2 linked regions of the Kluyveromyces lactis genome follow. The protein of the gene in region 1 interacts with the protein of each later gene in a pairwise test. Links are inferred from orthologs where the notes say so. Each region holds a gene or a part of one and is shown in the gene's direction. Other genes may lie near its edges.

The links.
Region 2: the proteins of CBF2 (region 1) and SLX5 interact in a two-hybrid assay, tested with the Saccharomyces cerevisiae proteins (3 studies listed by BioGRID). The link is inferred for Kluyveromyces lactis from reciprocal best matches to the Saccharomyces cerevisiae genes CBF2 and SLX5.

Annotation. Positions count from the first base shown.
Region 1 is NC_006041.1:345,202-349,662, reverse strand, and holds CBF2 (Cbf2p), read left to right. Parts: upstream 1-1,636; coding exon 1,637-3,847; downstream 3,848-4,461. Other genes in the region: KLLA0_E03785g (uncharacterized protein), read left to right, coding at 4,026-4,461.
Region 2 is NC_006039.1:401,792-405,778, forward strand, and holds SLX5 (SUMO-targeted ubiquitin ligase complex subunit SLX5), read left to right. Parts: upstream 1-1,465; coding exon 1,466-3,289; downstream 3,290-3,987. Other genes in the region: rRNA methyltransferase NOP1, read left to right, coding at 1-637; KLLA0_C04433g (uncharacterized protein), read left to right, coding at 3,732-3,987. UniProt on the Saccharomyces cerevisiae protein: Component of the SUMO-targeted ubiquitin ligase (STUbL) complex SLX5/SLX8 that mediates ubiquitination and subsequent desumoylation of sumoylated proteins and proteins containing SUMO-like domains for their degradation.

The DNA of each region.
Region 1 (4,461 bases):
AATTTACAAAACACAATATCTACCTTATTAATATATCTCAATTACTACAATGCATACTAATATATATATAAATATGAAAAACTCTTGCTTCAACTAAGCTCATCTTTAAATTTCATATTTCTTCCATGTTCCGGAAAAGAAATCAAACAATAATAAATAAAGCAAAAACAATAACATTGAGAGTTTTACATACAAAAAGGAACCCAAAAGACTCAGTCAGATACCAGGCAGCTCAAAAAAATTTCGAGACAAACGACGAAATCTAACGCTGCATTAAAGCTAAAATAAAGTAGAACTAAAACTCCCTCTAGATGGCTGAGAAAATTTCAGTGACGGCTGCTGGAATATTTAAGGAAAACCCTGTATAAAACAATATACCATATATACCTCTAGTTGCATAGTTCAGAACAACGCGCAACACTTGGCTGTCCAGATCATGGAGAGCACGGACTCTTTTCTCACGGTCTGTAGCCTTTCTGCCACCGTATACTGCCCAACAATTGTAATTCACGCTTTTCATCACTAGTCGCTTCTTGTCATCGTAAGGTGAAGCGATCCCAATTGATCGCACCTATAAAGTGCTGCAGGAAGATGGACTTTTGGATCAAAAAATCTACAAATCCGCTTTTTTTTTTTTCTTTCGAAAGAAAAGGGCAGTAAGAATCATCTCGAAGATAAATACGTGGCTAGTGGTATAAAGGATCTTGAGCAGCTTGGTCTGAACAAGAGAAAAAAACTGGACAGGATGGATAACTGGTTGTGTCCTTAGCCCCGGGTGGAGTGGAACACTAGAAACACGTGTCACTTGTCTTTGAGCGAAGAGTTTGGCCCATAACTGCTGTTGTAGACAACATTCTACCAAAGGAAATGTATCGCCCTTTTTTTTTCCTTTCGGTCTGCTTGATCGTTCCATTGACTGGCAAAATAAACGGATGGTAGATGCTAGCTGAGACTACACATCAACCAATTCCATTTCACCGTTGGTATGTAGTCTAGCCAAAGGCGAGAAACTGGCTCTCTCAAAGATGTTGAAACTGGTTGCTTCATCAATTCTCCTGTTTCACGGGTTTCTAAATCAAACTTTTTTTTTTTCATGCTGCAGCCTGGTTTGATGAAATTTAATGGCTCGGGAAAGGAGGGCATCGGTCAAATTTTTGATATTCGTATAATAACTGGATCACGCTTTTTCCTGTGGACCGGACTTATGTGTTGTTGTTGTTGTTACAAGCATGTAGTGTTACCCGGTGGATATGGCGGAAGAATTGATTCTTTCAAAGAAGCTGTATGTCTGTATAATTTCTTATGTTGTCCTCTCTGGTGGGGTGCATTAGCGGTTCGTATTTGGATCGGGACGAAGGGCAGCACAATCATGGAGTTTTTGAGGTGGTCTTCTTTTATGTTCACGTGACTGTTTTTTTTTTCCAAGATGCATGCTCTTCTCAGTTTCGCTCCCCTCAAAAAAAAAAAAAAAAAAAAAGAGAACAGTTGTCTTTCGCGTATTGTAGTTCTTTTTTTTAACATCCATAATAATAATAAAAACAACAACCATTAACAATAGGAAGTGATACTTATGGAGTTGGTTGGTTTCAGGTTGCTGGCGAAAAGCTAATATAGGCTCCTGTTTTCCTCAAGTTGAATGTCCAAACTTGATTCTCTTTTGAAAGAATTGCCTACACGAACAGCTCATCTATACCGCAGCATATGGCATAAATACACAGAATGGCTGAAAACGATGCCCGATCTCACCGGCGCAGACCTGAAACTTTTCTTGTCTCAAAAGTACATTGTCAAATATATTGCTTCGCATGATGATATCGCGAAGGATCCATTACCTACTTGTGACGCCATGATTTGGTTCTCTCGTGCTTTGGACATCGAAAATAACGATGTTCTTGTATTACAGCAACGGTTATACGGTCTAGTGAAATTGTTAGAGTTTGATTATTCTAATGTTATTGCTATCTTACAAAAGATTTCTATCAATTTATGGAATCCCAGTACGGATTCCTTACAATCAAAACACTTCAAGACTTGCCAGGATAAGCTAAAACTACTCTTGGATTTCCAATGGAAATTCAATACGAATGTGTCTTTCGAAGACAGAACTACTGTGTCGTTGAAAGATTTACAATGTATATTGGATGATGAAAATGGTAAATGTGGATTGGCGCATTCTAGTAAACCTAATTTTGTTCTTGTTCCCAATTTCCAATCACCATTTACTTGTCCAATCTTTACCATGGCAGTGTACTATTATCTACGATTCCACGGTGTGAAAAAGTACTATAAAGGGGATGGTTACCAGATCCTTTCACAATTAGAACATATACCAATAATTAGAGGGAAATCCTTGGATCAATATCCTCGTGAATTGACTCTTGGGAATTGGTACCCAACTATCTTCAAATATTGTCAGCTTCCGTACACTAAAAAACATTGGTTCCAAGTTAACCAAGAGTGGCCTCAATTCCCCGATTTCAGTGACAGTTCAGAGAATACAAGTACTCTGGCTGAATCAGATTCAGAAAACACCATTGGTATTCCTGACTTTTACATTGAAAAGATGAATCGTACTAAACTTCAACCTTGCCCGCAGGTTCACGTGCACTTGTTCCCCACAGACTTACCGCCCGATATTCAGGCAGTGTTCGATCTTTTGAACTCAGTGCTAGTCACTAGCTTACCACTTCTCTATAGAGTGTTTCCCACACATGATATTTTCTTGGACCCATCCTTAAAGACACCGCAGAATATCGCTTTTCTTACCGGCACTCTGCCGCTTGACATAGAGTCTCAAGAGCACCTTTTGGCTCAACTCATCGATAAAACTGGTACTGTCTCCGAATTAGTGCCTAATCCTGTCAAGATAGATCAAAATGAACATACTCTGACACCTATTGGTACCTCACTGTCACAGACTGATATTCCTATGCTTGACCAACTAAAAACCGAATTACAAAAGTTGATTCAATTACAGACTTCGACCGGCTTTTCTCAATTGATTACTGTCCTTCTTGAGATATTCCAAAGGTTGGATTTCAAGAAATCTAACAAGCAATTTGTAATTGATTTATTACAATCATGCAGAAAGGACATGAGAAACAAACTCATGGACCCATGTTCTCTTTCGACTAATTTTGCTGATGAACTCAGCGATGATGAAAATGAGAAAGGAAATAAGACAGGAGCCATTTATGATCCTGAAACTGATAATGGTAATGAAGAGTCTGTGAGCGATTATGAACCATCTTTTAAGAAATCGAAGCCAAATTATACAGAAGAACCTTTATCTGATGATGAAAACATGGAGGAAGTTGCTCAATTGGTAAATCAGCTCATAACTAGGAAATTTAATGAAAATTTGGAACAGCAAACTGATCGGATTATCAGTTCTATACAACCAACGCTTCGTGACATGGTCCGTACTGAGGTTGCAGATGCACTAAACCTTTCCCTAAGAGAAGCTTCGCGTGACAGTGTCAACAAGAAAAACAGTGACGAAAACTTTCAGAATTATTCCTTAACAGAAGATCATTTTGAGATGAATCCCGACTGCTCTGACATCAAATCAATTATTCTAGAATGGTTTACCCCAAATCGTGAATGCGTGCATTCGATGAACAAGAAATATGGAAACAAATGGCGACTGACAGAACCAAATCTGTCCTTGTACAGGATACGGAAGCCAATTGTTCAGTATTACATACATCTAATCAATGTAGAAAACCTCAATAAGTTTGACGCATTGAATAAGCTCGAAGCCGTGCTCGAAAAGCATCACTCCGTTCCGCTTCTCTCTTCCTTCTTGGAGAAAGCCAAGAAAAACGGCTATGCATCTGTCACGTGAACATTTTTTGTTAAGCATGCTTACTTTGCATGAGGTACATAAATGAAAACCGTATAATAGAAAATTGTAACCATATTTAGCAACGAAGCAGTAAAGTTGCTTCTGAACAAAGTCATAACTAGCTAAGAACCTTTCAGTATTTACTTGAAAAGAAAACTATAACGAGCCTGATGAGATTATGAGATTCTATATATTGTTTTTGTACCTATTTGGTACTCTAGTAGCGGCCATCCATCTTGATGACCCGCTTACTAACTTCAACTTTACTCCTCCTATAAAATCTCCTAACGACCTTCTGGACCACGAGCGGACGTTAACTGACGGTGAAATTCCAAGGTATGTTCTAGATCATTCACCGTTGATCCATCTTTACAGCGAAGAAAAATATCTTCCAGGAGACATCCAATCCTTTGTACCGCACTTTCAATTGGTAACATCGAATTATGAGACGGTTGTAAATGAACCTCTGAAAATATCAGATCTCAAGGGTGAATATAACGTTGCAGGGGAAGTTTTATCCAGCGAAACCCTGTATTTACATACTACAGAAAAGTTCGAGGAAGACCCATCTTGGTTACGCGGGACTCATCCTGAATATGGAACAGGATTGACTA
Region 2 (3,987 bases), on another chromosome or scaffold:
TGAATCTGTGTACGGTGAAAAGAGAGTTTCAGTTGAAGAACCTTCCACTGAAGAAGGTGTCCCACCAACTAAGGTGGAATACCGTGTTTGGAATCCTTTCAGATCCAAATTGGCTGCCGGTATCATGGGTGGTTTGGATGAACTATTCATTGCTCCAGGTAAGAAGGTTCTATATCTAGGTGCTGCTTCCGGTACATCTGTGTCCCACGTTTCCGATGTCGTTGGTCCAGAAGGGTTGGTTTACGCTGTTGAGTTCTCTCACAGACCAGGTAGAGAATTGATCTCTATGGCTAAGAAGAGACCAAATGTTATCCCAATTATTGAAGATGCTAGACATCCACAAAAATACAGAATGCTTATCGGTATGGTTGACGCCGTCTTCGCAGATGTTGCTCAACCTGATCAAGCCCGTATTATTGCTTTGAACTCTCATATGTTCTTGAAGGATCAAGGTGGTGTCGTTATCTCTATCAAGGCTAACTGTATCGATTCTACTGTTGATGCTGAAACTGTGTTCGCTAGAGAAGTTCAAAAATTGAGAGAAGAAAAGATTAAGCCTTTGGAACAATTGACTTTGGAACCTTATGAAAGAGACCATTGTATCGTTATCGGTAAATACATGAGAAGTGGATTATAAGAGCTGCTAAAGAAATATTGATATTTTGAAACCAATGCTAGAGTATGCCTACTTGGTTCATGATTCCTTCTATTAATCTTTTTTTTTTGGCTTCTAATCTTTTTTTGCTTACTTTTTAGTTTTAAAAACCTTCATTCCAATACAATCATTAACACTATAATATTATTTGAAATTTTGCATCTCATTGATTCGTGATAAAGTTCTACAAACTAGAAAAGTCTCCACTTCGTCTTCACTTGTATTTTGTCACTCTGTGTGTTTCTTTTACTTACAGTCCAGGTCCTTCGCCTGTTCAAAGGAGATCGACTAACTGACGGGAAAAGAATAGAAGAAGATTTCAAAACCTTGTTCATCAACTTGACAATACAAAAGAACCCATTTTCACAATAACGGTATTAATACTCGAACACTCTTAACCTTATTTTGTACATTTAATTTGTAGATATATTATTATTATTATCACATACTATATATAACTTATATATATCAATAACAACCATACGTTCTAGAAAATCATGTCTGGTAGCAGTGAATTAAAGGATATAACCCCATACGGGTTACGATACCATAATACGGTCCATCTGTGCATCTGTTGACAAACTCTTTGTTTCTTTTATCTTTAATCGACATCAAATTGAGACAAAAGTAAAGAAAAGTTCTTGAAATTAATAATTATGATATTTAAGACAACAGTGGTTTTGATATTAAGAGTAAACCTTTGAAATAAGCTAAAAGTATACAAAGGTATCGGAAGAGTTCAGAGCCAGATCCTTAAAATAGGTATCTGGTACAGCTGGAACAGTAATTAGTAAGGTAGAAAGCCTTGTGATGACGGAGCAAGGGTGTGTTATAGAGATCGATAGTGATCCAGAGCTAGATGCTCAAATCAGGGAAGAATATGCACCAAGGCGATTGATTCCAGATCGCAGAAGGAATAGACCCAGAGACCATTTGTCAAGATTTGTTTCCAACGCAGAGGATAGAAATGTGGCTCCTATCGCTCCTGCTACAGATTTGCCAGTGTCAACAGATGGTGAAGATTTGGAGATAACTGCAGAGGTTTCCTTGCGACCTGATGGGCCAATAAATGATGATGCAGAGTACATCAATCTGGACAACTACAGGGCTTCCAACAATGGTACTGTGGTTGTGGATCATAGAGAAGGGGATGATGATTTAATGCTTGTAGAAGAGCGTATCCAGGAATCTGGTAGACCCGTACTTTTGCAACTCCCGGCAGGTCAAACGTTACAGGTCGATGCTTCCTGGAATGAACTTCCGGTGGGCAGGTCGTTCCAGAATCAGGTATACAGGAATCCAAACCAACTGCGAAGACTACGGCGACATATTGATCATGCTACTGCTATGTTTATGGGTGGCTACAACCAGTCAGGCACTGGTGATAGTGATTTCAGCGATAACGATGCGGATTACATTCCTCCGGATATCGTTAACGAAAGAAATCAGTATACAATGCAAACGCGAATGAGAGAACAAAGGGAAAGACAGAACCAAATGCAAAGGCTACAGAGAGCTGCTGATGAGACGATCGATTCCTTGGATCCAGATCTTAGGAGTTTGTTCTTTGAATCTCAGTCATTGTCTCAATTTAGGGAAGGACTTGCTAGGTTCAATTTCCCACCAGCGAGGCTTGAACAATTGCTTGGCCAGTACAGAGATTTTAGAGCCCGGGCCATGCAAAGTTGGGCTGAGGGAAGGCGTACTAGAAGCATGAGTTACCAAAATAGAAATAGCCTAAGGCCACAAAGAACAAGAAGCGGTACTCAACAAAATCATTCTCGTGGATCAAACGGAGATTCAAGAGACAACGCCCTTTATCAACAGATGTTATTTGGAATGCCAGATGATGATGAAAATATGGACGGCAATAATTTCACAGGTACAACGCAGTCTTTACAACGTATTATATCAAACACAATGAATAGAAGGTTTGGCAATCTACCATTTGGTGTGGGTCCCGAGTTTGGATTCTATGAAGATGGAGATGATGCGGCAAACACAGAATTGATTATACGTATGATTCAAGAAAGAGAGGAAAGAGATGCCAGTACAAGAACTAAGAAGTTGAATGAAGTCACTAAATCTCAGCAACAGAAATACATCGACAAAGCGAACTCTTTGCCTGAAGGATATTCTGCGTCATTCAACACTGCACCATTGATGTCGATGACTATGGAGAATGAAGGCAGAGAGGAGACGGTGATGGTAACAGATGACGTGGCCGCGAAAACATACATCGATGTTCCTGTCTGTGTCCTATGTGGTGTGGAACTGGGAGTTGGAATTCCGGATGATTGGAAAGGTGTTAGTGAAGAAGATAAAGGCGTTTCATTTGAAGCCCTTCAGTCACACTATAAATTTCACTGTCCGTATCAAACTCTTGCAAGACCTACGCTAGTTGATAGAGATTTATCTCGCAGAACGTACGTGAGTTCATGTGGACACACTTTCTGTGGCCGGTGTCAAGTAAGAATTAAGAACGCAAGAGATATTTCGGCAAAGGAAAAAAACAAGTTAAAGAACTCTCAAGGACCTTCGCATCCGGATAATTATGGTCCTAAGAAATGTCCTGCCGAAGGTTGTAACAGTAATTTAAGAAAAAAAGGTATCATGAGAGAGGTGTACTTCTGAGTTATCATCGTTCACTAAATCATTCTTTTGTATCAAAAAGCTGTCGATTTGCACATGTATCGATAACAGAGAGCTGACCATGTAAAATTATAAATAGCATATTAGTTCTTAGAATGTTGTCCTAAACCTGGGACTAATCTAGATAACGAAAAGGTGGTTGGCTGCCTGTAACAAATTATGTGGTCCATTCCCTTATTTATTAGGAAATTCAGAGCTTCTCGATTATTTACCATTACATAAAAAATATGATACTTAAGGAAACGGAATGAACATGAAAGGATAAAGACAAAAACTGCCTTTGTATGGGTTATCTTCATAGCGTCTGTAATTTTATGAACGTAGCTTTCATTCCTAAGTCGTGATCAGTGGTGGTGATCAGTACTAAGGTCAAGAACTGGTGAATTTTCTTTGAACTTGAACGGGTTCGTTTTGCATATTTCTTATGAGAAAGGAGTTAGTGATAGTGACAGCGCTTTCCTTGATAGTCACTGGATGTATCAATTCAATTGCTACTAAATATCAGGACAATCAATGTGTTAGGGATTGTGACAGTATATCGCCTGTTTTGTTTGAACAACCGGTGTTGCAGACATTGCAAATGTTCATCGGTGAAATATCCCTAATGTTTGTTATGTTCTGGCAAAAGTACAATTCGCGAAATGGATACGAGGCAGTTCCATCGGCAGAGTCCTTGAACA